4 linked regions of the Anolis sagrei genome follow. The protein of the gene in region 1 purifies or fractionates together with the protein of each later gene. This does not show direct contact. Links are inferred from orthologs where the notes say so. Each region holds a gene or a part of one and is shown on either strand. Other genes may lie near its edges.

Evidence for each region.
Region 2: the proteins of ZC3H18 (region 1) and CSNK2A2 purify together in Homo sapiens (affinity purification with mass spectrometry; 3 studies listed by BioGRID and IntAct, with this or other methods). This does not show direct contact. The link is inferred for Anolis sagrei from reciprocal best matches to the Homo sapiens genes ZC3H18 and CSNK2A2.
Region 3: the proteins of ZC3H18 (region 1) and SF3B1 purify together in Homo sapiens (affinity purification with mass spectrometry; 3 studies listed by BioGRID and IntAct, with this or other methods). This does not show direct contact. The link is inferred for Anolis sagrei from reciprocal best matches to the Homo sapiens genes ZC3H18 and SF3B1.
Region 4: the proteins of ZC3H18 (region 1) and SRRM2 purify together in Homo sapiens (affinity purification with mass spectrometry; 3 studies listed by BioGRID and IntAct, with this or other methods). This does not show direct contact. The link is inferred for Anolis sagrei from reciprocal best matches to the Homo sapiens genes ZC3H18 and SRRM2.

What each region holds. Positions count from the first base shown.
Region 1 is NC_090028.1:26,528,266-26,535,258, forward strand, and holds the start of ZC3H18 (zinc finger CCCH domain-containing protein 18), read left to right. Parts: upstream 1-3,985; 5' UTR 3,986-4,192; intron 4,193-5,954; exon of another isoform or gene 5,955-5,974; intron 5,975-6,993.
Region 2 is NC_090028.1:1,403,552-1,410,585, reverse strand, and holds the start of CSNK2A2 (casein kinase II subunit alpha'), read left to right. Parts: upstream 1-4,028; 5' UTR 4,029-4,323; coding exon 4,324-4,427; intron 4,428-7,034. Other genes in the region: CFAP263 (cilia- and flagella-associated protein 263), read right to left, coding at 2,031-2,203.
Region 3 is NC_090021.1:178,747,676-178,754,806, reverse strand, and holds the start of SF3B1 (splicing factor 3B subunit 1), read right to left. Parts: upstream 3,024-7,131; 5' UTR 2,939-3,023; coding exon 2,911-2,938; intron 1-2,910. UniProt on the Homo sapiens protein: Component of the 17S U2 SnRNP complex of the spliceosome, a large ribonucleoprotein complex that removes introns from transcribed pre-mRNAs.
Region 4 is NC_090026.1:23,851,130-23,859,136, forward strand, and holds the start of SRRM2 (serine/arginine repetitive matrix protein 2), read left to right. Parts: upstream 1-4,998; 5' UTR 4,999-5,527; exon of another isoform or gene 5,528-5,581; intron 5,582-8,007. UniProt on the Homo sapiens protein: Required for pre-mRNA splicing as component of the spliceosome. As a component of the minor spliceosome, involved in the splicing of U12-type introns in pre-mRNAs.

The sequences.
Region 1 (6,993 bases):
AGGGCAGTTAAAGTGATGCCAAACTGCATTAATTCTCCAGTGCAGAACGCACCATGTTAGCTGCCTTGAGCTTTGCTTGAGAGAGAAAAAGTGAGATATAAATACCAATAACAATACTATGGAGATGCTTTACCAAGGGCGTATCTACATTGTTGAATGAATGCAGTTCAGCATTACTTTATCTGCCTTGGCTCAATGCTATGCGATCCTGGGAGTTGTAGTTTTGCAAGGTCCAAGGGTACTAAGATCATCTGGGGAGGCCCTGCTCTCGGTCCCGCCTGCATCACAGGCACGCTTGGCGGGGACGAGAGACAGGGCCTTCTCAGTGGTGGCCCCTCGGCTGTGGAACGCCCTGCCTGCAGATATCAGATCGGCTCCCTCCCTGCTGGCGTTTTGGAGGAAAGTGAAGACCTGGCTGTTCGAATAAGCATTTGATTAAACAGTGTAATTGAACATAGGAATACGGAATAATGGATGATGAGACTGGATTCTGATTTTACTGTTGAGGCACTAATTATTGTTATACGGATGTTAAATGATTTATGTTACAATTGTTCTTAATTGCCCTATGCTTGTCTCGTGATGTTTTGTATTGATGTTGTTCACCGCTTTGAGTCACCTGAGGGCTGAGAAAAGCGGTATATAAAATAAATAAATAAATAAATAAATAAATACAAACTGTAACTCCCAGGATTCCATAGCATTGAGCCAGGGCAGTTAAGGTGATGCCAAACTGCATTAATTCTACATAGCAATTGGTATATATTGCAATGATAATACTTTCCAACCTTTCTGCTATCATTTCATGTTTAAAATCCCTTGACGTTTGGCCTTCTTCTTCTTCTCTAGGATTATCATAAAGGGCTTATTAAAATGCTCATTTTGGAGAGAAGGGGCCCAGTTGGAGCTCACGCCTAGCAAGCCAGCTTTGATTTGTGCCAGAGTTTCATTCTGTTTGATGATTTGGCTCCTTGAAGTTGGAAGCAAACCATTTATTCAGCTTACTTTGTATTATTTGTTGGGTCTGAGCTCCCTCTTGCGTTTGCAAACACAAAAGCCACCCTGTACGGTTGAGCATCCTTTATCCGAAATGGACCACATTTCTGATTTTATCTGGATTTTGCCATCCTTGCATAGATATCATTAGATATCTTGGAAAGCCAACTCCCTAATGAACTTTCCAAACCTTCATGGGTACATCCACACTGCAGAATTAATGCAGTTTGACGCCGAACTGTCATGGATCATTGCTATTGAATTAAGTTTCTGTGTTTCTATTGCATTTTCATTTCTAAGAAATCAAATTAAGAAATCAAATGTATTATTAATATTGGTAATACTACTGTTTGTTTTTGTTGTATTTAAATCTATATAAATAAAAATGTAGTGTTCGTTTGTGAGATTAAGAGAACTCAAAAACCACTGGACGAATTGACACCAAATTTGGACACAAGACATCTAGCAACCCAATGTATGTCCTTCTCTAAAAAAATTGATTTTGTCATTTGGGAGTTGTAATTGCTGGGATTTATAGTTCACCTGCAATCAAAGAGCATTCTGAACTCCACCAATGATGGAATTGAACCAAACTTGGCACACAGTTCTCCCATGAGCAACAGAAACTACTGGAAGGGTTTGGTGGGCATTGACCTTGAGTGTTGGAGTTGTAGTTCAACTATATCCAGAGAGCACTGTGGACTTAAACAATGACCAAACTTGGCACAAATACTCAATATTTAGCGATTCGGCTGAAAAGGATGCAGAGCTGCAATCATTCGCCAAGCTAATCATGTGGTTACACAAATAAATGCCACTTTTATAGAAATGCAGAGTTGTGTGGTTCAAATCTCCCACTCCCCGCCCTCCACTTGGCTGATGCCACAACAGCTGGGAGGAGGCTCAGCTGCCCTCTGAGCGCGTGGGACAATCACAGGGCTGCTGCGGTGCGTCTGGGCCAATCAGAAGGGCTGAGAAATAAATAAATAATGTGGGACTGTCCAGAACATTGTCTGGACAGCCCTTCCTTTATTGCAGGAGTTCCTGCAATAAAGGTCTTGTCTGGATGGGCCCTCTGAGAAAGATTGCTGAAGGCCTCTCCCAGGAATGTGACCTTGTGAATCTTCATGGGACATCTTGGGCCTCTCGTCTGGGGTTAACTCAAGCCCAAGCAAACCCTCATCCCCATTGCTGACAGACCCAGGCCCAGAAAGCCCTTCATTTCCATTTCTGTCATGACCATCAGACACAATCACAGGCTGAACTACAACACCATACCCATTTTGTCACTTGCTATCTTGACATTATGTCCTCTCCATAAACTGAAATGATTTCACCATGAATCACAGTGGCGTTCTTGCCCTTAGCATTTAGGTAGCATATTACAGTGCGAACTTTGCACTTGGAGGGAAACAGAATGAGGGTGCACATCTCTAACCTTCACCAAAACGCCAGTCGATGAGCTGCTGACAACTGGCACTGCTCATTAGCTACATGGAAGTGATGCCAACTTCCCGAGAAAATTCCCTGCGAGAGCTACGTGCCTTGTAATCTTGTTTTCCAGATAAACCTTGTACTTTAAAAATGTATTGCATTTTAATTCTCACGAAATAAAAGCTATCACTACTTTTTATGTTTGCATTGCATTTAAATTCTTAAGAAATAAATTTATTATTATTCATAGTTTGTGTTTGATTGAATTTCAACTGTTAAGAAACAAAAGGTATGATTATTTATACTTTTTGTTGTATTACTTTTTAAGAAATAAAGGTGCTAATATTCATGTTTGTTTTATTGCATTTTAATTAATACAAATATTATTCACAGTTTGTGTTTTTATTGCATTTTAATTGTTTAAGAAACAAAAAGTATTATTAATATATATATATATATATAATAAAGGTGCTAATATTCATGTTTGTTTTATTGTATTTTAATTAAGAAATAAAACATATTATTATTCACAATTTGTGTTTTTATTGCATTTTACTTAAGAAACAAAATGTATTATTATATATATAATAAAAAGTGCTAATATTCATGTTTGTCTTGTTGCATTTTAATTAATAAAAATATTATTCAGTTTGTGTTTTTATTGCATTTTAATTCTTTAAGAAACAAAAAGTATTATTATTATATATATAATAAAGGTGCTGATATTCATGTTTGTTTTATTGCATTTTAATTAAGAAAATTAAAAAAATATTATTATTCAGTTTGTTTTTATTGCATTTTACTTAAGAAACAAAAAGTATTATATATATCTATAATAGTGCTAATATTCATGTTTGTTTTATTGCATTTTAATTAAGATATAAAATTATTATTATTCAGTTTGTATTTTTATTGCATTTTACTTAAAAAACAAAAAGTATTATTATATATATATATATATAAAAGGTGCTAATATTCATGTTTGTTTTGTTGCATTTTAATTAAGAAATAAAAATATTATTCACAGTTTGTGTTTTTATTGCATTTTAATTCTTTAAGATACAAAAAGTATTATTATTATTATTATTATTATTATTATTATTGATGCTACTCCTCCTTTTACTTCTCCATTGAGAATGCAGCTCCCTCATTGGCTACCCACTTTCCCCCGTCGCCCCGCCTCTCTCTCTTTCCCCGGCTCTGATTGGCTATCCGGGCCCTTTCCCCGCTTGCCTTTTTGCTCACGCGCACTTCGCATCAACTCAGTCCCTTCTTTCCTCCCTTATTGCCTACCCACTTTCCTCCATTGCTCCGCCCACCTCCCTTTCCTTGGCTCCGATTGGCTACCGGGCCTGCCTTATCACGACTCCACTTTGATTCCCCGCCCTTTTTTCTGCGCAGGCGCAATTTGGTAGTCTCAATCTTTTTTTTTTTCCTCCCTCAGCTCTATTTAGAATTCAGCTTTCTTATTGGCTAACGACGCCTCCCGTCGCTCCGCCTCCCGGCTGTCCTCTACTGCGCACGCGCATCGAGGACCACGCCCACTTTTCCGCCTCCTTTTTTCCTAGAGCCGCCTCGCGCTCGCCGTTGCCGTCGCGCCCGGATGACGTTGCGCCATGGCCGCCCTGCTTCGCCGCCAGTAGGGAGGCCATTGCCGCGCCGCTTCAGGGAACGGCTTCTCCCCGCCTGCCCCTTCCCGCCCGCCCACCCGCCTGCCTGCCTTTGGCGGCTGCCGCTCCCCGACCCCTCCCCGCCGGGCCAGGTGAGGAGCGCGAGGCCTGAGGCCTACTCAGCCCGCACAGAGATATCTCTCTCTCTCTCTCGGGAACGAATTCTGCCGGGCCTTTGGAGCCGTATGTTAGTGCTCTGTCTGTCTATCTGTTTATCTCTCTATCATAGGATCCTCGAGCTGGAAGGGACACCCAATTCAACCCCGGGATGTGTATGTGTATAGCAGGGCATGAACAAACTTTGGCCCTCAAGGTGTTTTGGACTCCCAACTCCCACAATGTAAGGGAGTTGGAGTCCAAAACACCAGGCCGAAGTTTGCCCATGCTTAATGTATAGAGATCTATCTATCTTTCTATCTATCATAGGCTCCTAGAGCTGGAAGGGGCCCCAAGGGCCATCCAGCCCAGCCCCTGGATGTGTGTTTAGAGTTCTTTTTATCTACCTACCTATCTATCAGTCAATCAGTCATGGGATTCTAAAGCTGTAAGGGACCCCCAAGTGCTACCCAGTCCAGACCCTGGATGTGTGTTTAGAGTTCTCTTTTTCAGTCAGTCAGTCAATCAATGTATGTGTCTAGAGATCTGTCTATGTCTCTATCTTTCTATCTATCATAGGATCTTAGAGCTGAAAGGGGCCCCAAGGGCCGTCCAGTCCAGACCCTGGATGTGTGTTTAGAGTTCTCTTTTTCAGTCAGTCAATCAGTCATGGGATTCTAAAGCTGTAAGGGACCCCCAAGTGTTACCCAGTCCAACCCCAGTATGTATGTGTCTAGAGATCTGTCTATGTCTCTATCTTTCTATCTGTCATAAGATTCTAGAGCTGAAAGGGGCCCCAAGGGTCATCCAGGCCAGATCCTGGATGTGTGTTTAGAGTTCTTTTTATCTATCAGTCAATCAATCATGGGATTCTAAAGCTGTAAGGGACCCCCAAGTGCTACCCAGTCCAACCTTGGTATGTATGTGTCTAGAGATCTGTCTATCTATCTATCATAAGATTCTAGAGCTGTAAGCGGCCTCAAGGGCCATCCAGGCCAGATCCTGGATGTGTGTTTAGAGTTCTTTTTATCTATCTATCAGTCAGTCAATCAATCATGGGATTCTAAAGCTGTAAGGGACCCCCAAGTGCTACCCAGTCCAACCTTGGTATGTATGTGTCTAGAGATCTGTCTATCTATCTATCATAAGATTCTAGAGCTGTAAGCGGCCTCAAGGGCCATCCAGGCCAGATCCTGGATGTGTGTTTAGAGTTCTTTTTATCTATCTATCAGTCAGTCAATCAATCATGGGATTCTAAAGCTGTAAGGGACCCCCAAGTGCTACCCAGTCCAACCTTGGTATGTATGTGTCTAGAGATCTGTCTATCTATCTATCATAAGATTCTAGAGCTGTAAGCGGCCTCAAGGGCCATCCAGTCCAGACCTTGGGTGTGTGTTTAGAGTTCTTTTTATCTATCTATCAGTCAGTCAATCAATCATGGGATTCTAAAGCTATAAGTGCTACCCAGTCCAACCCCTGTATTTATGTGTCTAGCGATCTGTCTATGTGTCTTATCTTTCTATCCATCATAAGATTCTAGAGCTGAAAGAGCCATCCAGTCCAACCCCTGGATGTATGTGTGTATCGAGATCAATCAATCAGTCAACCATAGAATCGTTACCCCTGTATATATGTGTGTATAGAGATCTATCTATGAATCTATCTATCTATCATAGGATCCTAGAGCTGGAAGGGACCCCAAGGACTACCTGGTCTAACCCCTGATGTCTGTGTGTATAGAGATCTATCAATCAATCAACCATAGAATTGTTACCCCTGTATGTATTTGTGTATAGAGATCTATTGATGTATCTATCTCTCTATTTATCAGGATCCTAGAGCTTTAAGGAACCCCAAGGGCCATCCAGTCCAACCCCTGGATGTATGTGTGCTTAGAGCTCTATCTATCTATCTATCATAGGATCCTAGAGCTGGAAGGGACCCCAAGGGCTATCCTGTCCAATCCCTGGATGTATGTGTGTATAGAGATTTATCTATGAATCTATCTTTCTGTCTATCATAGGATACTAGAGCTGGAAGGGACCCCTAGGGCTGCCCAGTCAAACCCCTGGATGAATTTTAGGGTTTGTTCTTTTTATCTATCATAGGATTCTAGAGCTGGAAGGGACCCCAAGTGCCCCCAGTGCAATCTCTGTATGTGTGTATAGAGGCCTATCTATTTATCATACGATCCTAAAGCTCTAAGGGACCCCAAGGGCCATCCAGTCCAACCCCTGAATGTATGTGTTTTTAGATATCTTTATATCAATCATAGAATCATTGAGTTGGAAGGGATCCCAAGGGTCATCCAATGCAGCCCCTGAATGTGTATTTAGAGTTCATTTTATCTATCTATCATAGGATTCTAAAGCTGCAAGGGGATCCCTGGTCCAACCCCTGATGTCTGTGTGTATAAAGATCTGTCAGTGAATCAATCAATCATAGAACAATTACCTCGTTATGTATGTGTGTATAGAGATCTATTGATGTATCTGTCTTTCTATTTATCATAGGATCATAGAGCTGTAAGGAACCCCAAGGGCCATCCAGTCCAACACCTGGATGTATGTGTGTTTAGAGCTCTATCTATCATAGGATCCTAGAGCTGGAAGGGACCCCAAGGACCACCCAGCCTCTGCTTAAAAACCTCCAGATAAGGAGATTTCCTCACACTCCGAGGCAGTTTATATTCCCCTGGTAACCAGGTACCCTGAAATGCCATCCAATCCAACCCCATTCTGCCAAGCAGGAAAGACACAATCCTAACAGATGGACTCTGCTTGAAAAATCTCCAGAG
Region 2 (7,034 bases), about 25 Mb from region 1:
AGAAAAAGGTTTGAAAGTGACAGTTAATTTTCAGTCAGGAGGATGAGACCCTGAGAAGAGGGCAGAGTCAGTTAGGGCTCTGTGGTGTGAAGCGGTGTAAATTCAGTTAGTTCTTAGTATTTGTGAATATTTCTTCAGCAAGGGAGCTGAAGGGAAACCTCGTTAGATTGCTTGAGTTAAAAAGAATCTAACAGAGGGGGTTTTAGGATCGCCAGTAGTGGAAGACTGGAGATCAGTGGTTTGATCCGGTATAGGACAAACAGTGTGAATATTCACAATAGGGAACACTGAAATAATAAAGCACTTCACTGAAGAAGGAGTTTATAAGATTGTAACATCAGAAGCCTGAATGTATCTCGACCAAGCCATATTGTAACCATCAAGCATGTGTCAAGTTCAACATCTCAATATTGCAACAATTACGCTTTGTTAATAATAAACTTGTTCTCTTTGTATTTTAAACCTGCCTCCTCCATTGATTTTATGTTCGGTGCATTCCACTCTACCAAAGTTACCTCACAACGTAAATAGGGATAAACAGAGACTTTAAGACCAGCGTCTCTAAACTTATTGGTGGCAGTTTAATTTAACATTCTAGGAACTTTCTTACATTTTTGGTGCCATTCGGTGAGATAAAGACTTCTTTACATATTTTTGGTGGCATTGATACGTTCTTTACAAGGTGAAAATGGAATGTTGGAGGACAGGAAAAGAGATTTAAAGATGGGCTCAAAGCCAACCTTCAAAACTCTGGCATAGACACTGAGAACTGGGAAGCCTTGGACCATGAGTGCTCCAGCTGGAGGTCAGCTGTGACCAGCAGTGCTGCAGAATTTAAAGAGGAACGAATGGAGGGTGAAAGAGAGAAACGTGCCAAGAGGAAGGCGTGTCAAGCCAAGCCCAACTGGGACCTCCTTCTACCTGGAAACCGATGCCCTCACTGCGGGAGAAGATGCAGATCAAGAATAGGGCTCCATAGTCACCTACGGACACACCCTGGAGGATTATGCTACTCAGACAACAATAGTCCACCTACAATCAAAGAGCATTCTGAACCCCACCAATGATGGAATTGAACCAAACTTGGCACACAGCTCTCCCATGACCAACAGAAAATACTGGAAGGGATTGGTGTGTAGTGTCCTTTGGTTTTGGAGTTGTAGTTCACCTACATCCAGAGATTCTGATGTGCCTTCCCAGAAAAGGATAACCTCCAGCACTATGTCCCAGAAGCACTTTATTAGAGTTTAAGACTCTCTGCACATTGCCCTTGCCCAGAATCCCAATATATCACCTTTCACACCCAGCACTTTTTAATCTGTACCCATCACTGGCCCGGCCCTGGTTTTATTGTGTAATGTTTTGTTTTCGTTATTGCTTATGTTTTTAATTTGCTTTGCATCGTATTGTTATTGTTTGTTGTTGTTGTTGAGGCCTTGGCCTGTGTAAGCTGCATTGAGTCCTTTGGGAGATGCTAGCGGGGTACAAATAAAGTTTAATAATAATAATAAAAGATCACTGTGAACTCAAAAATGATGGATCTGGACCAAATTTTGCATAAATACTCAAATACTCCATATGCCCAAATGTGAACACAGATGGAGTTTGGAGAAAATAGAATCTTGACATTTGGGAGTTGTAGTTGCTGGGATTTATAGTTCACCTACAATCAAAGAGCATTCTGAACCCCACCAAGGATGGAATTTGGCCAAACCTCCCACACAGAACCCCCATGAGGGCCACAGCAATAATATTATAAATATATGTTTACGCTGTATGTTTTGGGGATGTTACTTGGAAACCGGCCTGAGTATCCCTCAGGGAGATAGAGCTGTATACAAAGAAAGTTTATTATTATTATTATGATCACTAGTGGGGGTGGCACCGGGGAAGGGGGAATATCATGTGGTTGTTTATTCGGCTGAGGGGGGAAAGGAAGTGTCGTGAGGCGGTGAGGGATGGCGGGAGTGGCAGGCCAAAGGCCTAAGAAAGGAGGCTTGTCCTGGGGTGTCTTCCCCGAGTGGGCGGACCTGGTCTGCTGGATGGCGGCGGCGAGGCTGACGAGGGAGATCTGGCTGAGGTCGCGGCGGAGCTCCTCGCCCAGTTCCCGCGACTCCCCGGCCTGCACGCTCTCCCGCTCCGAGTCCTCGTCCGCCATCACGACCAGGCCGCGCAGAGAGACCGGAGACGAGGACGAATCCATGGCGACGAGGAGGAGAATGGCCTTCTTGGGGTGGTGGTGGTTGCTGTTGTTGTGGTTGCTGAGGCGCCGAACTCCCTCACTTCCGGCCACGCCCCCTCACTTCCCTTCTCTTCTGGCCCCGCCTATTTCCCCTAGGACCCGGATGGGAGTGGCAGCCTCAGCTTTCCCTCAGCTATGGCCACGCCTACTCTGTCACGTGACTCCCTTCAGTAGAAAGGCCGCTTTTCCTCACTTCTGGCCACGCCCCCTCAAGTGAATTTTAATAAGCAGGAGTTTCCTTTACTTATGGCCCCGCCTACTCCGTCACGTGATTCCCTTCAGTAGGAAGGTCGCTTTTCCTCACTTATGGCCCCGGCTACTCTGTCACGTGACTCTCTTAGGCTAAAGTCGGCTTTTCCTCACTTCTAGCCACGCCCTCTCGCGTAAATTTTAATAAGGAGGAGGGGCTTCCTTCACTTAAGGCCCCGCCCACTCCGTCACGTGACTCCCTTCACTAGATAGGCCGCTTTGCCTCACTTCTAGCCACGCCCACTCATGTACATTTTTAATAAGGAGGAGCTTCCCTCAGCTATGGCCCCGCCTACTCTGTCACGGGACTCCCTTCAGTAGAAAAGGCTGCTTTGCCTCACTTCTAGCCACGCCCTCGCATGCGAATTTTAATAAGGAGGAGGGGCTTCCCTCGCAATCGGCCACGCCTACACCGTCACGTGACGCTATTAAGTAGAAAGGCCAACTTTCCTCAGTTCTCGCCACGCCCTCCCAAGTGAATTTTAATAAGGAGGGGGAGCTTCCCTCGCAACAGGCCACGCCTATTCTGTCACGTGACTCCCTTTAAGTAGAAAACGCTGCTTTGCCTCATTTCTAGCCGCGCCCTCTCAATGTGAATTATTAATGAGGAGGAGCTTTCCTGACTTATGGCCCCGCCTACTCCATCACGTGATCCCTTAGTCTAAAGCCCGCTTTGCCTCACTTCTAGCCACGCCCTCTTATGTGCATTTTAATAAGGAGGAGCTTCTCTCGCAACCGGCCACGCCTACCCCATCACGTGACTTTCCCTAGCTTTGGATTGGAGTCCTTCTCTTTTGTCCCCTCCCTGATTACAAGGGCCTGCTTCTGGCCCCGCCCCTTGCCTACGTCACTCCTTGACTACAAGAAGCCGTTTCTAGCCCCGCCCTCTTTTTTACGTCACTCTGATTACAAGGGTCCGCTACCGGCCCCGCCCCTTTGCCCTACGTCACTCCCTGTTTACAAGAGGCCGCTTCAGGCCACGCCCCCTTTAGCTACGCCACTCCCTGATTACAAGACACCGTCTCTGGCCCCACCCCTTTTGCTACGTCACTCCCTGATGACAAGAGGCCGCTTCTGGCCCCGCCCCTTTCTCTACGTCTCTCCCTGATGACAAGAGGCCGCTTCAGGCCACGCCCCCTTTAGCTACGCCACTCCCTGATTACAAGACACCGTCTCTGGCCCCACCCCTTTGGCTACGTCACTCCCTGATGACAAGAGGCCGCTTCTGGCCCCGCCTCTTCGCCTACGCCACTAATCAGGGAGTGGCGTAGGCAAAGAGGCGGGGCCAGAAGCGGCCTCTTGTCATCAGAGAGGCTGCTTCAGGCCCCGCCCCGTTGCCTACGTCACTCCCTGATTACAAGAGGCCGCTTCAGGCCCCGCCCCCTTGAGTACGTCACTCCCTTTGGCCCCGCCCTCTTCTTCACGTGACCCTCTCTAGCCCTGATTGGGAGTAGTATCCGCTTTCCCGGACTTGTCACGTGACTATCTCATTTCCGGCCCCGCCTCTTCCTGCCTGTCTCCGTGACGCGACTTCCTCTCCTGTGGGCTGGGCCTCTGTTGCGCCTGCGCGCCGGAAGCCCTTCCCCGTCCCTCCCCGGCCTGTGCCGGCGGACTTTCTCGGGGCCGGTGGGCGCCACGCCGCCTTCGCCTCCTCCTCCTCCTCCTCGCTTCCCCCCTCGGGCCTGGCCCTGGCGCCGCTCTTCCCCGCGGCCGGTCCGCTCCCGTTCCCGCTCCGGGCCTTCCTCAGGTGGGCGCCCGCCTCGCACGCCTCGCACGCCCGGCCCTTCCTCCTCAGGCCTTCCGCCGCCTCCGCCTCCTCCTCCTCGGCCGCCATGCCGGGCCCCGCCGCAGGGAGCCGCGCCCGCGTCTACGCCGAGGTCAACAGCCTCCGCAGCCGAGAGTACTGGGACTACGAGGCCCACCTCCCCGCCTGGGGGTAAGCGAACCACGCCATCCATCCCAGGCCTAGGCCACCTTGGGCCCTTCCTCCCGCCTTCCAGGGGGTTTGGACTACAACTCCTATCATTCCTCACAGCCTCAGGCCCCTTCCTTTTCCCCCTCAGCCGCTTAAGCGGCTGAGGGGGAAAAGGAAAGGGCCTGAGGCTGTGAGGAATGATGGGAGTTGGAGTCCAAACCCCCTGGAGGGGGGGGGGGAGGGCTCAAGGTGGGCCAGGCCTGGGATACAACTATCTATCTATTTCAGGCCTCCCTCCCTCCCTCCAGTGGTTTTGGACTCCAACCTCTTAGGAATGATGGGAGTTGAACTCCAAATCACCTGAAAGGTGGGTGGGTGGGAGGGCCAGGCCTGAGCTGCATCTCCATTGGTATCTCTCTCTATGTACCTGTATCTATATCACAATAGCTATATCTGTATATACAAACAATAACAAATATCTGGATATTTCTGTCTGTGTCTATCTCAGACCTCCCTCCCTCCAGTGGTTTTGGACTTAGGAATGATGGGAGTTGAAGTCCAAATCACCTGAAGGGTGGGTGGGTGGGTGGGAGCGCCAGGCCTGAGCTGCATCTCCATTGGTATCTCTCTCTGTGTACCTGTATCTATATCACAATAGGTACATCTATATATACAAACAACAACAAATATCTGGATATCTCTATCTCGGGCCTGGACTACAACTCCCACTTTTTAGGAATGGTGGGTGCTGAAGTCCAAAACTACAGCTATATCTGTATATACAAACAACAACAAATATCTGTATCTATCTGTCTATATCTATCAGGCCTGGGACACTTTTTAGGAATGGTGGGAGTTGAAGTCCAAAACTATATCTGTATATACAAACAACAACAAATATCTGTATATATCTGACTATATCTCAATCCTGGGCCATCTTGGGCCCTCCCTCCTGGTGGTTTGGACTACAAATCCCACTTTTTAGGAATGGTGGGAGTTGGTGTCCAAAACTATAGCTATATCTGTATATACAAACAACAACAACAACAAATATCTGTATATATCTGTCTATATCTATCTATCTATCTCAGGCCTGGGCCATCTTGGGCCCACCTTCCCTCCTGGTGGTTGGACTACAACTCCCACTTTTTAGGAATGGTGGGAGTTGAAGTCCAAAACTATAGCTATATCTGTATATACAAACAAGAACAACAATCTATCTATATCTATCTCAGGTTTGGGCCCACTTTGGCCCTCCCTCCCTCCTGCTAGTTTGGACTACAACTCCCACTTTTTAGGAATGGTGGGAGTTGAAGTCCAAAACTATAGCTATATTTGTATATACAAACAACAACAACATATATCTGTATATATCTGACTATATCTCAGGCCTGGGCCATCTTGGACCCTCCGTCCCTCCCTCTAGTTTGGACTACAACTCCCACTTTTTAGGAATGGTGGGAGTTGAAGTCCAAAACACCTGGAGATAGGGAGGGAGGGCTCAAGGTGGCCCAGTACTGATCTACATCTATATTTATCTATCTCTGTGTGCCTGTATCTATATCTCTGACTATAGTTATCTATCTGAGGCCTGGGCCATCTTGGGCCCTCCGTCCTTCCTGCTGGTTTGGACTCCAACTCCCACCATTCCTAACAGCGATAGGAGTTGAAGAGCAAAACACCTGAGGGAGGGCCGAAGGTGACCCAGGCCTGATCTACATCTCTAGCTATCTGTATATAATAATAATAATAATAATAATAATAATAATAATAATATTTATTTATAACCTGCCACCATCTCTGGGTGGTTTGGACTCCGATGCCTGCACCTGTTAGGAATGGTGGGAGTTGAACTCCAAATCACCTGAAGGGACGGAGGGCCCAAGGTGGCCCACGCCTGATCTGCATCTCTATCTATTTGTATCTGTATCTATATAATGATGGGAGTTGGAGTCCAAAACCCCTGGAGGGAGGGTGGGCCAGGCCTGGGATACAACTCTATCTCTCTCAGGCCTCCCTCCCTCCAGTGGTTTTGGACTCCACCTCTTAGGAATGATGGGAGTTGAACTCCAAATCCCCTGGGGGGTGGGTGGGAGGGCCAGGCTATAGCTCTATCTGTATCTATATATCTATATCTATCTCAGGCCTGGGCCAATTTGGGCCCTCCCTCCCTCCCTCCAGGTGTTTAGGACTCCAACTCCCATCATTCCTAACAGCCAGTAGGAGTTGAAGACCAAAACACCTGAGGGAGGGCCCAAGTTGGCCCAGCCCTGATCTACACCTCTATCTATAACTATGTATGTGTATCTATATAAGTATAGCTGTAATTATATCTGGACCTACATCTCTAGCTATAACTATTTCTTTATCTATATCTATTTGTCTGTTTCTATGTAACTATAGCTATAACTATATCTGTATCGCTATCTGACCATATCTATCTATCTCAGGCCTGGGCCAATTTGGGCCCTGCCTCCAGGTGTTTTGGACTCCCAACTCCCACCATTCCTAAAAGCCAGTACGAGGTGAAGTCCAAAACACCTGGAGGGAGGGCCCAAGGTGGCCCAGGTCTGATCTATATCTATATCTATCAATCAATCTGTATCTATTTCTATGTACATACCCGTA
Region 3 (7,131 bases), on another chromosome or scaffold:
TAATTTCCTGCATAGCATATAATATTCTTCCTGCATGAAAGGTAGAATCCAATGCTTTATTTTAACAAGAATATTCAATCTTGAATATTTGTGTACTATACTGCTCATTCAAACTCATACTAATCAGTCAGCCACAGGAAAAAAATTGCTAATTTTTACTGTAATTCTCGAATTACATTTGTTGTTTAATGCTCATCAACAGATGAATTCTCAATGTGTTCTGAGTTCAAAACATACTGCTCAAAACACAGTGTCTAAACTGAAAAACAAACCCAAACTTACTCATATTTTGTGAACACATAGATATTGAAATGGATAGGCACTTCTTGACAGACAATAATTACAATATGAATGCAAACAATTACATGAAATTGGAGGGGTAGCATGTTCCTTATGGGAGTAGTTATTTCCCCATTTATATCAATACCTCTGAGGATCTCTGCCATAGAAGCAGGAAAAATTGAGAGAATGGTACTGGAACATGACCATACAGCCTGAAAAACTCACAGCAACCTAAATGGAGTAATTATTTCCCCATCTATATAAATGGATTAGTCATTTCCTCATTTGTATCAATGGAAAAATCATGGGCCAAAATCGGAATTGACTCAATGATTTGGTGGCGCTTACATAAAGGCCCCTTCTACACTACTATATAAAATCCAAATTATCTGCTTTGAACTGAATTATGTGGCAGTATAGACTCATATAATCCAGAATATCAAAGCAGATAATCCTATGGCCCCTTCCAAACAACTGTATAAAATCCACATTGAAATGGATTATAAGGCAGTGTGGACTCAGATAATCCATTCTGGATTATCTGCCTTTATATTCTGTGCTATATGGCTGTGTGGATGGGCCCTAACACAGATGGCCGCTTGGGGAGCAGTGACTCACTTTCCAGTTGGGACTAATAACTGAATTTAGGTCATGGATTCCACAAGCAAATCCTCCTTAAAGCTTGCAGAGAGACAGCTCAGGACCCTTCCACACAATCATTACAACAAATCACCTCCAATATCTGCTTCGAACTGTGTTATCTGAGTCCACACTCCCATATAATCCAGTTAAATGTGAAAACATGGCTGTTCGACGTGATTTTGAAGAATGAATAACAAATCCCCATACCATGACCGTCCCAGTACAAATTTGTCCTTTTGATGCGCTTTATCACATCCCCTAGTGAGAATTAAACCCCATCGTTGTCCCATCTGAATCTCCGACCAGATACACTACTCTATTTACCTATCTCACCCAGGGTTTTATAATTCTATCCCTTTCATCTGGCCCAGCCCATTGTGTTTATTTTATTTCATATCCTGTGTTTACCCTACTGTATTATTTTATTTTGCATTTTATTTTATTTGATGTTATTAGTTTTGCTGTTTGTATTTTCTTTGCTTTATTATAATTGTCGGGCTTGGCCTCATGTTATCCACCCTGAGTTCCCTTGGGGAGATGGTGGCGGGGTATAAATAAAGATTATTATTATTATTATTATTATTATTCAATGTGGATATTATGCACATGTGTGGAAGGGGCCTCAGAACACTGTGGGCCCTTCTACAGTCTAGAATGAAAGCTGTTTGACGTGACTTTAACTGCTGCGGCTAAATGCTATGGAATTCTGGGGGTTGTGTTTTGGCGAGGCACGAGCACTCTTTGCCAGGAGGATTTGTAACATTACAACTCCTGGGATCCCAGTGCATTGAGACATGGCAAGTCTCTTCCACACAGACGCCTAAACCCCCACATTATCTGCTTTGAACTGGAATATGAGGCAGTGTGGACTCAGGGCACTTCCACATTGCCATATAGCTCAGAATATGAAGGCAGAAAATCCCACAATATCTGCTTTGAACTGGATTGAGTCTACACTGCCATATAATCCAGTTCAATGTGGATTTTATGCAGCTGTGTGGAAGGGGGCAGACATTTTAGGGTCCTTCCAAACAACCATATGGCCCAGAATATCAAGGCAGAAAATCCCACAATATTTGCTTTGAACTGGGTTATTTGAGTCTACATTGCCATATAATCCAGTTCAAAGTGGATTTTATGCAGCTGTGTGGAAGGGGCCAGATATCTCAGGGTCCTTCCACACAACCATATGGCCCAGAATATCAAGGCAGAAAATCCCACAATATTTGCTTTGAACTGGGTTAATTGAGTCTACATTGCCATATAATCCAGTTCAAAGTGGATTTTATGCAGCTGTGTGGAAGGGGCCAGATATCTCAGTGTCCTTCCACACAACCATATGGCCCAGAATATCAAGGCAGAAAATCCCACAATATCTACTTTGATCAGGGTTATTTGAGTCCACATTCTGATAATGTGGGATTTTCTGCTAGATATTCTGGGATATAGCACTGTGTGGAAGGGCCTCCTGTTGAAAGTGGAGTCAAACGGAGTTAATTCTACGATGAGCCTTCCTCCTCCAACCTGCATTTTAACAGGCCTATTTTTAAATTAAAGAACGACCCACAAGGAGGCACAAAGGCTGCCTCCCAGGAAGAAAACGTAGAAAAGGATGTTCCCCTTCCCATATGTTCACAATTTTGCGTGCGCAAGGGAGGAAGAGGCCACGACTGCTTCCTCGAGGCCTGGCTTGAAGAACACGCGGGCCTCGATTTCCTCAACCCCGCTCCTCTGCGCTGCCCTCCCGGCCACTCGGGTTCACGCGAAATAGTTGGAGCGGAGGGGGAAGGAGCGGCGAGGCCTTGAGACACCTCAGCGACGACGCCATTACGCGAAGGCCTGGCCCGCTCAGGCGCCCTTTCCCTTCAGCTTCCTGGAGCCAAGGAGCGCCGCCCTTCGAGAGGGAAAAACAGCGCCTTCAGACTTCGAGGCCTAAGCGGCCGGGGTTTTAAGCCGCAAACGGAAACCACCCTCTTTTTCTCTTACCTTCGTGCGTCTTGGCGATCTTCGCCATTTTGTGGAGCTCGAAGAAGCGCAGCCAGCGAGATGGAGGGGGGGGGGCGGCGCGCGCTTGTTCTCTCGACGTCCACTTCCGCTTTCGGGGGCGGAAGGAGGGAGTTGGGAGGGGGAGATGGGAGGAGTGGCCGCGCGAGAGCCCTTTGCGCAGGCGCACTGGAACGGCAAGGGGAAGGCGGGGAAACCGAGAGGGACGCCGCAGCTTCAGCTTTTATACAGCGCAGGAGTAAGCGGGGCTTCCCTTCCGAGTCCATCATAAGACCCCTTATTTTGTGGGATCGCGTTCACAGAAATAAGGCGCCTTTATACTGGAGAATTAATGCAGTTTGACACTACTTTCAACTGCTATGAAGTAACTCTAAAAGGGTTGCTTTGGCAGAGAAGGCTAAAGGCCTTGTAAAACTGCAGCTCTTATAGTATTCCCACACAACCATATAACCCAGAATACCAAGGCAGAAAAACCCACAATATCTGCTTTGAACTGGGTTATCAGACTCCACACTCAATGTGGGGTTCTCTGCCTTGATATTCTGGGATATAAGGCTGTGTGGAAGGGCCCTGAGTCCACACTGCCACATAACCCAGTTTAATGTGGATTTTATACTCCACAGTTAATTGTAGCCATTTTAGATGAGTATCAGGCTCCTTCTACGCAGGTGGGAAGTAGCAGCCAATAGTGAAAGGACCAAGGCAGAGACATCTCCAGCTCATCCCTTGTTTGGGTATCAGCCAGCACGTAGAATCATAGAATCAAAGAGTTGGAAGAGACCTCATGGGCCATCCAGTCCAATCCCCTGCCAAGAAGCAGGAATATTGCATTCAAATCACCCCGACTTAAATCAAGAAATAGTTTTCTAAGATCTACAGAGACACTCGCTGGAACACCTCAGCAAGTGAGAGTCCAAAACTGGCAGGCTCAAACCCAGAGCCTCAATGATACCAAATGAGAGACTCCCCTCTGGGCACACAGAAGACTGGGCGACTTGGAAGGCGCTGAACAGACCGCTCTGGCACCACGAGATGCAGAGCCAACCTTAAGAAATGGGGCTACAAAGTGGAATCCACAACATGCGAGTGTGGAGAAGAGCAAACCATTGACCACCTGCTGCAATGCAACCTGAGCCCTGCCACATGCACAATGGAGGACCTTCTTGTAGCAACACCAGAGGCACTCCCAAGTGGCCAGATACTGGTCAAAGGACATTTAATCAACTACCAAGCTTGCAAACTCTGTTTTGTCTGTTTGTTAAAAATTTGTTTAAAATGTAATCCAATTGTCTGGTTGCTACTGACATGATAAATAAATACACAGGTGTATAAATTCCTCATTGAACTGGATTATATGACAGTGTGGATTCAGATAACCCAGTTCAAAACGGCTATTGTGGATTATCTCCCTTGATATTCTGGTTACATGTGAATTAAAAGGGGTCTTGTGGCATATTTGGGGCTAAATAAGAGAGAAAAATGGTAGCAGCTGCACTGCAGAATTATATTATCAGTATATGTAGATCCCATCTTTACTCTTAAAAAGAGACTCAATGCAGCAAACCATTCTAAAAATTCAATATACAAATCAGAACCTAAACTATATAAACACTAGAACAGAAATATACAGGCAGTCCCCAAGTTGTTACCAAGATAGGTTCTGTAGGTTTGTTCTTAAGCTGAATTTGTTTGTTAGCTGGAACAGGTACATTTTAAAAGTGTAACTCCAGCTCTCTCCCCCCCCCCCTCCCCTCTCTCTCTATAAATTATTTAGCTTTGGATAGCATAGGAAAGGGTTTACACCGCCATGGTGTTTGTTTTGCTGTCAGTGGCCCCGTTCAGAGGATTTCACCTCACTTTCTGTCCCTATGATAATTGGATTTTGAAAAAAAATTGACTTCTGGAAATAAGATTGCTGATAAAGCATCACTGGAGACACCTTTTTTCACATGATGACTCTTTCAGAAGTTAATTTCCCTTCCAAGGGAAAGATTTCTCTCACTTCTTGTTGGCTCACCCCTGTTCTTAACTAGGAGTCATTTGTAAGTTGCATGTTTGCAGCTCGAGGACTGACTGTGGTTAAATCTATTTTTTTTTAAAAAAAATTAAAAACTGTTCAAAATACCTATCAAATACCTATTAAACGCCACACAACACCCCCGGCTCATACCTACTTGAATATAAAGTGTTTAGCTTGCTTCCATTCTAGCCTCCCTGGGAAACAAACTTAAAACTCCTAAATCCCAAGCACTGGGCCTAGCTGTCAGACGACTATAATTATGCAGTGGGAAAACAGTCCATCTGCTTCCTCAGACTCTGTGTATGTGACTTGCCATAGAAATGCAAAGGTGGTGGGTATGGTGATGATAAGTGGCAAGTTATGTATTAGCAGTAGATGGTCATTGAGCAAGCATGGACAAACTTTAGCTCTCCAGCTGTTAGGAGTTGTGGAAGTTGAAGTCCAAAACACCTGGAGGGACGAAGTTTGTCCGTGTCATTGAGAGACAGATATAGGAGAGAGGTGTTGCATAAATACAAGATGAGTGGATAACCCTAGGAAGATGGAAGAAGTTACTGGGATGCAGTGTGATGCTGGCTCTGTTTAACCCACTGTCAGGGGATTGGAGTTTGTTAATTTATTTGGTTAAATACACAGACTAATAGGGCTCATGCCATAACCTGGGACAGTTTTGAGATGGAAAAGTGCCACAAAGACAGCAGTCTTAACCCCCTTTTTTTGTTACAGTTTGAAGGGTGCTTCAGTATTCTGTCATATTTTTGTATGTGTTTTTTTCTTACCACCCAGGGAATATTTTCTTCATGGAAATATGAAGAAGCCAGTTTCGAATAAAAACCTAGTTTGTTTCTGGGTTTTTTTAAAATGCATTTGAATGAAATTATCACAACTTGTTGAGAATGGACAGATATGGAATTTAGACTGGAGTAAAATGAGAGGGAAAGGCCTGGTGAGTTGTGACAACCATAATAACAAAAGTGAAGCTAAGACATAGGACAGAGGCATTTATTTAATCTTGGCCAAGATGATGCTTGTAAACTCCTGCTCCAAAAAATTACAAGCATAAGAGAGCATGTGCTCTGCACAACAGTTTTTATACACAATGTTCATTATTCCAGTTTGAACCATCCCTCTTCTGTTTCTGGTTGGCCGAGCTCTGTTGATGTGGCTGGAAATCCCCTCCCAGCCAGATAGGGAAAGTAGTATGGACAGAGAGGAGTCTGTAGGAAGTGCTAGCATTCCATGCCAGCAGGGGTCCAGGGTGGGGATGATGGGATTGTGAGAACAATGGAAGCTGATCTCTGTAGTCTTGGCTATTTAGCAAAGATGCCTATTGGGGAGGCTGCAGTTGGGTAGTTGAGAGCTATTGTTATCTTTTGTTATATTGGGTTGTTGTAGGCTTTTCGGGCTGTATGGCCATGTTCAGCGCTGCCTCCAGAAAATCCTGCAAATTTCTTGGGAAGACAGGCGGACAAATGTCAGCGTGCTGGAAGAAGCAAAGACCACCAGCATTGAAGTGATGGTCCTCTGCCATCAGCTCCACTGGACCGGCCATGTTGTCTGGATGCCCGACCATTGTCTCTCAAAGCAGTTGCTCTACTCCAAACTCAAGAATATCAAATGAAATGTTGGAGGACAGGAAAAGAGATTTAAAGATGGGCTCAAAGCCAACCTTAAAAATTCTGGCATAGACTCTGAGAACTGGGAAACCCTGGCCCTTGAGTGCTCCAGCTCGAGGTCAGCTGTGATCAGCAGTGCTGTAGAATCTGAAGAGGCACGAATGGAGGGCAAAAGAGAGAAACATGCTAAGAGGAAGGCGCATCAAGCCAACCCCGACCGACACCGCCTTCCACCTGGAAACCAATGCCCTCTCTGCGGGAGAAGATGCAGATCAAGAGTACGGCTCCATAGTCACTTACAGATCCACCAGAAAACTGATCCTGGAAGACTATCCTACTCGGCCAACGAGGGATCACCTAACATCTAACAACAACATGGCCATGTTCTAGAAGCCTTCTCTCCTGACGTTTCATCTTCATCTATGGCAGGCATCCTCAGAGGTTGTGAGGTCTGATTATTTGCCTGAGGCTGAGAAGCATTCCGGCTTGAGTCAAACAGTTTACTTTCTTATATTTACCGTAGTATATTTAAGAATAAGGCAGAATAAAAGTACAGCTTATACATTT
Region 4 (8,007 bases), on another chromosome or scaffold:
GGTCATTCAAATCTCAGTAGCTCAGGACACAATTGCAGTACCAGTTGAGTTATCTGAAATACTTGGGGCCAGAAATATTTGGACTTTTTGCAGATTTTGGAACACGTACATGTACATATGGAAATATCTTCAAGCTTGGACCCAGTCTAAACATGAAATTCACTTATGTTTCATGTACATATTGCCTGAAAGTTATTAGTCACAGTATTAAAAAATGTTTGTATGAAAGGAAGTTTATGTACATTGAACAAAGGTGTCACTATCCAAGCCACTCATGTGAACAATATTTGAACTTAGAGGATTTCAGAGTTCCAGATAAGGGATATTGTTTATTGCTTGTTGTTTAATATTGCTTAAACTGTTTTTAATTTGCTTTAGGTTGTGTATTGTTATGTTATATTTTGAGGCCTTGGCCTTTGTAAGCCGCATCGAGTCCTTCGGGAGATGCTAGCGGGGTACAAATAAAGTTAATAATAATAATAATAATAATAATAATAATATTCAACCTGTATTGGTATCCTGTAACATTTTCAGAACAATTACTTTTCCTCTTGCATCATGCATTGCATACTGATGGTACATTCTTTTGCCACATATTGTTAGCTTTAGGCCCATCTTTAAACCTATTTTGTTATTCACCAACATTCCATTTTCCTAAGTTTGAAATAAAGTAACTGCTTTGGGAGACAGTAATTGGGACAATTACATGTAATTGCATGGAAGTGGAAGAAGACAACAGAATAGGAAGGACAAGAGACCTCTTCCAGAAAATTAGAAACATTGGAGGTAAATTTCAGGCAAAAATTGGTATGATAAGAAACAAAGATGGCAGGGACCTAACAGAAGCTGAAGAGATCAAGAGAAGGTGGCGAGACTATACAGAAGATCTGTATAGGAAGGATAACAATATCGAGGATAGCTTTGACGGTGTGGTGAACGAATTAGAACCAGACATCCTGAGGAGTGAGGTTGAATGGGCCTTAAGAAGCATTGCTAACAACAAGGCAGCAGGAGATGATGGGATCCCAGCTGAACTGTTTAAAATCTTAAAAGATGATGCTGTCAAGGTGATGCATGCCATTTGCCAGCAAATATGGAAAACACAAGAATGGCCATCAGACTGGAAAAAATCAACTTATATCCCCATACCAAAAAAGGGAAATGCGAAAGACTGCTCAAACTTCCGTACAGTGGCCCTTATTTCTCATGCCAGTAAGGTAATGCTCAAGATCCTGCAAGGAAGACTCCAGCAATACATGGAGCGAGAGTTGCCAGATGTTCAAGCTGGGTTTAGAAAAGGCAGAGGAACGAGAGACCAGATTGCCAATATCCGCTGGATAATGGAGAAAGGCAGGGAGTTTCAGAAAAACATCTACTTCTGCTTCATTGACTATTCTAAAGCCTTTGACTGTGTGGATCATAATAAATTGTGGCAAGTTCTTGGTGGGATGGGCATCCCAAGCCACCTTGTCTCTCTCCTGAGGAATCTGTACAAGGACCAAGTAGCAACAGTCAGAACTGACCACGGAACAACAGACTGGTTCAAGATTGGGAAAGGCGTACGGCAAGGCTGCATACTTTCACCCAACCTTTTTAACTTGTATGCAGAACACATCATGCGATGTGCGGGGCTGGATGAATGCAAAGCTGGGGTGAAAATTGCTGGAAGAAACATTAACAACCTCAGATATGCAGATGACACCACTCTGATGGCCGAAAGCAAGGAGGAGCTGAGAAGCCTTCTAATCAAGGTGAAAGAAGAAAGCGCAAAAGCCGGGTTGCAGCTAAACGTCAAAAAAACCAAGATTATGGCAACAAGAATGATTGACAACTGGAAAATAGAGGGAGAAACCGTGGAGGCTGTGACAGACTTTGTATTTCTAGGTGCAAAGATTACTGCAGATGCAGACTGTAGCCAGGAAATCAGAAGACGCTTACTTCTTGGGAGGAGAGCAATGTCCAGTCTCGATAAAATAGTGAAGAGTAGAGACATCAGACTTGCAACAAAGATCCGCCTAGTCAAAGCCATGGTATTCCCTGTAGTCACCTACGGATGTGAGAGCTGGACCTTAGGGAAGGCTGAGCGAAGGAAGATCGATGCTTTTGAGCTGTGGTGTTGGAGGAAAGTGCTGAGAGTGCCTTGGACTGCGAGAAGATCCAACCAGTCCATCCTCCAGGAAATAAAGCCCGACTGCTCACTGGAGGGAAGGATACTAGAGACAAAGCTGAAGTACTTTGGCCACATCATGAGGAGACAGGAAAGCCTAGAGAAGACAATTATGCTGGGGAAAGTGGAAGGCAAAAGGAAGAGGGGCCGACCAAGGGCAAGATGGATGGATGGCATCCTTGAAGTGACTGGACTGACCTTGAGGGAGCTGGGGGTGGTAACGGCCGACAGGGAGCTCTGGCGTAGGCTGGTCCATGAGGTCACGAAGAGTCGGAGACGACTGAACGAATGAACAACAACAATTGGGACAACATGGCTAGTCCAGTGAAGTTGATGGTGGAGAATCATCATTCTAAGAGGAAGACATGAAGCAAACCCTTGTCATCTGGAAATTTATGTCCTCAATGTGAAAGACCATGTGGTTCCAGGCTAGGACTGACCGCCAAGACTCTACCTCTGGAAGACAATCATACTTGGCAGGGACTGATCGCCCATGATGATGACTGATAATGCAATATAAATAAATGAAAAGCCATTTATGAAAATAACAACTTTAAAATATGACATTATATTGATACACTTACAGGAAAAGTGGCCTGAGGACAGTGTTGTACTGGTCTCAGGGTCTTTAAGGTTAAAATTCCAGGACTTTCTGATTAGCAGAGTGACAATGTCATCTCTCCTCTTTGACTCAGTTCTCGCCTTTTCTTTAGAGATGAAAACCCTATACTAGTTGCAGGTTGGGGAAAGGGGGTTGTCCAAACAATAATACACTGTTTGGAGTGTCTTTATTGTAATACATAATATTTTGGGAGGGTTTGTTCTGAAGGGGCGGGGTTTCTGGGAACCCTTGTTATTGTTGCTATGTGCCATCAAGTCAGTCTTATGAGTATCTTATGAATCATAGCTTTCACTGAGTCATACATAACAGCACTGCTCTGGTTTTGCATATTCAGCGCTTCAGCTTCCTTGACTGAGAGCCCATCCACACAGTCACATAACCCAGAATATCAAGGCAGATAGTCCACAATATATGCTTTGAACTGGTATCTGAGTCCACACTGCCATATAATCCAGTCCAATGTGGATTTTATACAGCTGTGTGGGGCCTGAGTCAATCCACCTGTAACACAGGCCCTCCCCTCCTCTTTATCTAGCGTTATTGCCTTTTCTTGTGAGTCATGCCTCTTCATGATTATGTCAAAAGATTTATAGCCTCATTTTCATCAAGGAAAGGGGAAAGAATATATTCAAAAACACAGCTAAGGGAGGCCTGCCTTAAATTATTTTGGAGCCAGGCATGTGCTTTTAAAGAGAGTCTTTCCCCTTCACTTTATTTCTGATCCTTTTTGACCCCTTCTTTGTTTTTCTTGTTCTGCAATAGCTCAGTGGAAGGGAGGTTTGGCTGTAGATTTTTCTTCTCAATTTTAATTAACTTAGTATTTAATCCTGCTTTTACATTTTGATTTTAATCCAGTTTCTGGTAATTATTTAATGCTTGATAGTTGTTGTTTTCTTTGAGCCCTTCTATTTTAGGAGCCATGAGGAGAGCCCAGTAACAAATAAAATTTATTATTATTATTATTATTATTATTATTATTATTGTGTCATTGAAGGCTTTCATGGCCGGAATCATTGGGCTGCTTTAAGTTTTTCGGGCTGTAATAATAACCCATTATTATTATTATTATTATTATTTGTCATATATGCTGCAGTAGTTTAGCAGGAAGAGTTTCTTTGGAAGATGTAATTATCCCCAGTTTAATACTAGCTTTCTGCACAGTTTACCTTTACTTATTAATTAATCCTACTATTTTCATTTTAAATCAGTTATTTTAATCGTTACTTATTATATAATCCAGATTATCAAAGCAGATAGTCCTCATTACCTGCTTTTGAAATGGATTATGAGTCTATACTGCCATATAATCTTGTTCAAATCAGATAAACTAGATTTTATATGGCAGTATAGAAGGGGTGTTGGTATCTGTCTGTATCTTGTCATATAATCCAGATTAAAATAATCCATATTATCTGTTTTGAACTGGATTATATGAGGTCCCTTCTATACTGCCATACAAAATCCAGATTATCTGATCTTAACTGGTTTATAGGAGGCCCCTTCTACACTGCCATAAAACCCAGATTATCTGTTGAACTGGATTATATGGCAGTGTAGACTCATATAATCCCAATCAAAACACATATTAGAGATTATATGGCAGTGTAGACTCATATAATCCCAATCAAAACACATATTAGGGATTATATGGCAGTGTAGACTCATATAATCCCAATCAAAACACATATCAGGATTTGTATGGCAGTGTAGACTCATATAATCCCAATCAGAACACATATCAGGGATTATATGGCAGTGTAGACTCATATAATCCGAATCAAAACACATATCAGGGATTATATGGCAGTGTAGACTCATATAATCCCAATCAAAACACATATCAGGGATTATATGTCAGTGTGGACTTATATAATCCAGATCAAAGCAGATTTTAGGGATTATATGGTAGTGTAGAAAAGGCTGCCGTTAGCTAAACTTCCCTATTATTCTTGACAGGAAGTTCTTCTAGGAAAGAACTCCCCGCTTGTTACTTTGCCGGAGTGAAAGGATGGGGACGCCTCTAACCCGGTGCCTGCTGGGAATTGTAGTCTGTTTGCAAGTAGCCCCAAGCGCTTGATACGGCCAATGGCATTGGCAAGACTACTATTCCCGGCATGCATCACGGAAAAGTGCTCCGAGGCGAATTGAGAAACGCACGCCGCAGCCGTCCCTCAGCAAATCTCGCGAGATCTCCCCTTGCGATCTCCGCGTCCCACCCCCGCTGACTCTAATTAGGGGCCGCGCGGTGGCCGACGGGAGCAAGGGTTTCTCTCCTCTTCGTTCCCCTCGCGAGGCTTGGTGCTTGCCGATTTACACCGCGGATCATTCGGCGTTTGGGGAGAACGGGACTGGAAGCGGGGGCGAGAAGCGAGGGAAAGCCCCCCCCCCTCCTTCCTCAGGGCAACCCTTCCTCGGAGCGCTTTGACAAAATGGCGGGCGACCTTCGCGCTGCCCGCGAGGCCTGCCGGGACTCGTAGTCTTTCCCGCCCTTCCTGTGAGCGTCCGCGGGCCCGGCTTCCTGAGGGGAAGGACTACGTTTCCCATGATCCAACGGGGGAGGAGAAGGGGCAGACGGGAGCGAACTGGACGGCCGTGAGGGGACAGCGCAGGCGGCCCTCCCCCTTTCCCCGTCACCCTGCGCCGCCGCGGCTTCGTGCTGCCGCGTCGGATGAGGTAGTCGCGCGAGCCAGTGGCGCAGGCCGCGGCCTCCCTTGGGCTGCGCGAGGGAGGCAGGCTGGGTGAGGGAGAGGCCTACTCCGCCGAGGAGGCCTCGGTCTTCCCAGCTGCGATTGGTAGGGTGGGGATTGGGGCGGGGGGGCGGCGAGGACGCCGAGTGGCGGGCTTTTTTTTTGGCCAGGCCTTGAGCTGGAGGGACCTGCGCGGTGGGGTTGTTTTCGCCGAGGGGAGCGGGGTTGAAATGGGGTGGTTTTAGCCAGGCCGGAGAAGGTGTGGGTGGGAAGATAAGGGAGCCTTTTAGGCCCACGGAGGGAGGGCATCTGCAAGTCAATACGAAGGTAGAAGGCAGCACGAAGCTTAAAACGGGAGGGGGGGGGGGTTGTAACCAAATATCAAGGCAGGAGACATATTTCTTCTTAGAGTAAATACAATATCAGGAGAGGAGGCATATTCCTTTTTAGAGTAAATACAATATCACAACAGGAGACCTATGCCTTCCTAGAATAAATACAGTATTGGGACAGGAGACATATTCCTTCCTAGAGTAAATACAATATCAGGACGGGACGCATATTCATTCCTAGAGCAAATACAATATCACAACAGGAGACAGATTTCTTCTTTGCTTAAATACAGTATCAAGACAGGAGATGTATTCCTTCTTAGAGTAAATACAATATCAGCACAGGAGACATATTCCTTCTTAGGTTAAATCCAGTATCAAGACAGGAGATGTATTCCTTCCTAGAGTAAAAACAATATCAGCACAGGAGACATATTCCTTCTTAGAGTAAATACAATAGCAGGACAGGAGGCATATTCCTTCTTAGAGTAAATACAATATCAGCACAGGAGACATATTCATTCCCAGAGTAAATACAGTATCAGGACAGGAGACATATTCATTCCCAGAGTAAATACAGTATCAGGACAGGAGACATATTCATTCCTAGATTAAATACAGTATCGGGACAAGAGTCATATTCATTCCTAGAGTAAATACAATATCAGGACAGGAGACATATTCATTCCTAGAGTAAATACAGTATCAGGACAGGAGACCTATTCCTTCCTAGAGTAAATACAGTATCAGGACAGGAGACATACTCATTCCCAGAGTAAATACAATATCAGGACAGGAGGCATATTCATTCCTAGAGCAAATACAATATCATGACAGGAGAGATTCCTTTTTAGAGTAAATACAATATCAGGACAGGAAACCTATTCCTTCCTAGAGTAAATACAATATCATGACAGGAGACATATTTCTTCTTAGCTTAAATCCAGTATCAAGACAGGAGATGTATTCCTTCTTAGAGTAAATACAATATCAGGACATGAGACATATTCCTTTTTAGCCTAAATCCAGTATCAAGACAGGAGACGTATTCCTTCTTAGGGTAAACACAATATCAGGACAGTAGACACATTCCTTCTTAGCCTAAATCCAGTATCAAGTCAGGAGATGTATTTCTTCAAAGAATCAGGAGGCTTAAGGGGAGGGGAAGGTTGCAACCAACCATCGAGATGGGAGACATGATCCTTCTTAGAGTAAATACAATACCAAGAAAGTGAACATATTTCTTCTCCGAGTAAGGAGGCTTAAGGAAAGGGGAAGGTTGCAGTCAAACATCAAGACAATAGACCTATTCCTTCTCGGAGTAAGGAGGCTTAAAGGGAGGGGAGGATTGCAACCAAGCATCAAGATGGGAGCCATGTTCCTTCTTAGAATAAATACAGTATCAAGACAGGAAACATATTCCTTCTTAGAGTAAAGGCACTATCAGGACAAGAGATGTTTTCGTTCTTTCTTAGTCTAAATGCAGCATCAAGACAGAAGATGTAGTCCTTCAAAGAATCAGGAGGCTTAAGGGAAGGTTCCAAAGAAAGCATCAAGATGGGAGACATGATACTTCTTAGAGCAGTGGTTCTCATCCTGGGGTTCCCAGATGTTTTTGGCCTACAACTTCCAGAACTCCCAGCCAGTTTACCAGCTGTTAGGATTTCTGGGATTTGAAGGCCAAAAACATCTGGGGACCCCAGGTTGAGAACCACTGTCTTAGAGTAAATGCAATATGAAAACAATAGACATGTTCCTTCTTAGAGTAAGGAGGTTTAAGGGGAACAGAAGGTAGCAGCCAAACATGAAGATGGAAGACATGTTTCTTCTTAGCGTAAGGAGGTTAGGGGGAGGGGAAAGTTGCAACTAAACATCAAGATGGGAGCCATGTTCCTTCTTGAATGTAAATACAACAAGACGAGAAATATTCCTTCTCAGGGCCCTTCCACATAGCCATGTATCCCAGAATATCAAGGTGGAAAATCTCACAATATCTGCTCTGAACTGGGTTATCTGATCCACACTCAGATAAAGTGGAATTTTCTGCCTTGATATTCTGGGATATAGGGCTGTGTGGAAGGCCCTTAGAGTAAAGACAATATCAGGACAGTAGGCGTATTCTGTCAAAGAATCAGGAGGCTTAAGGGGAGGGGAAGGTTGCAACCAAACATCAGGCCAGTAGATATATCCTTTCAAAGA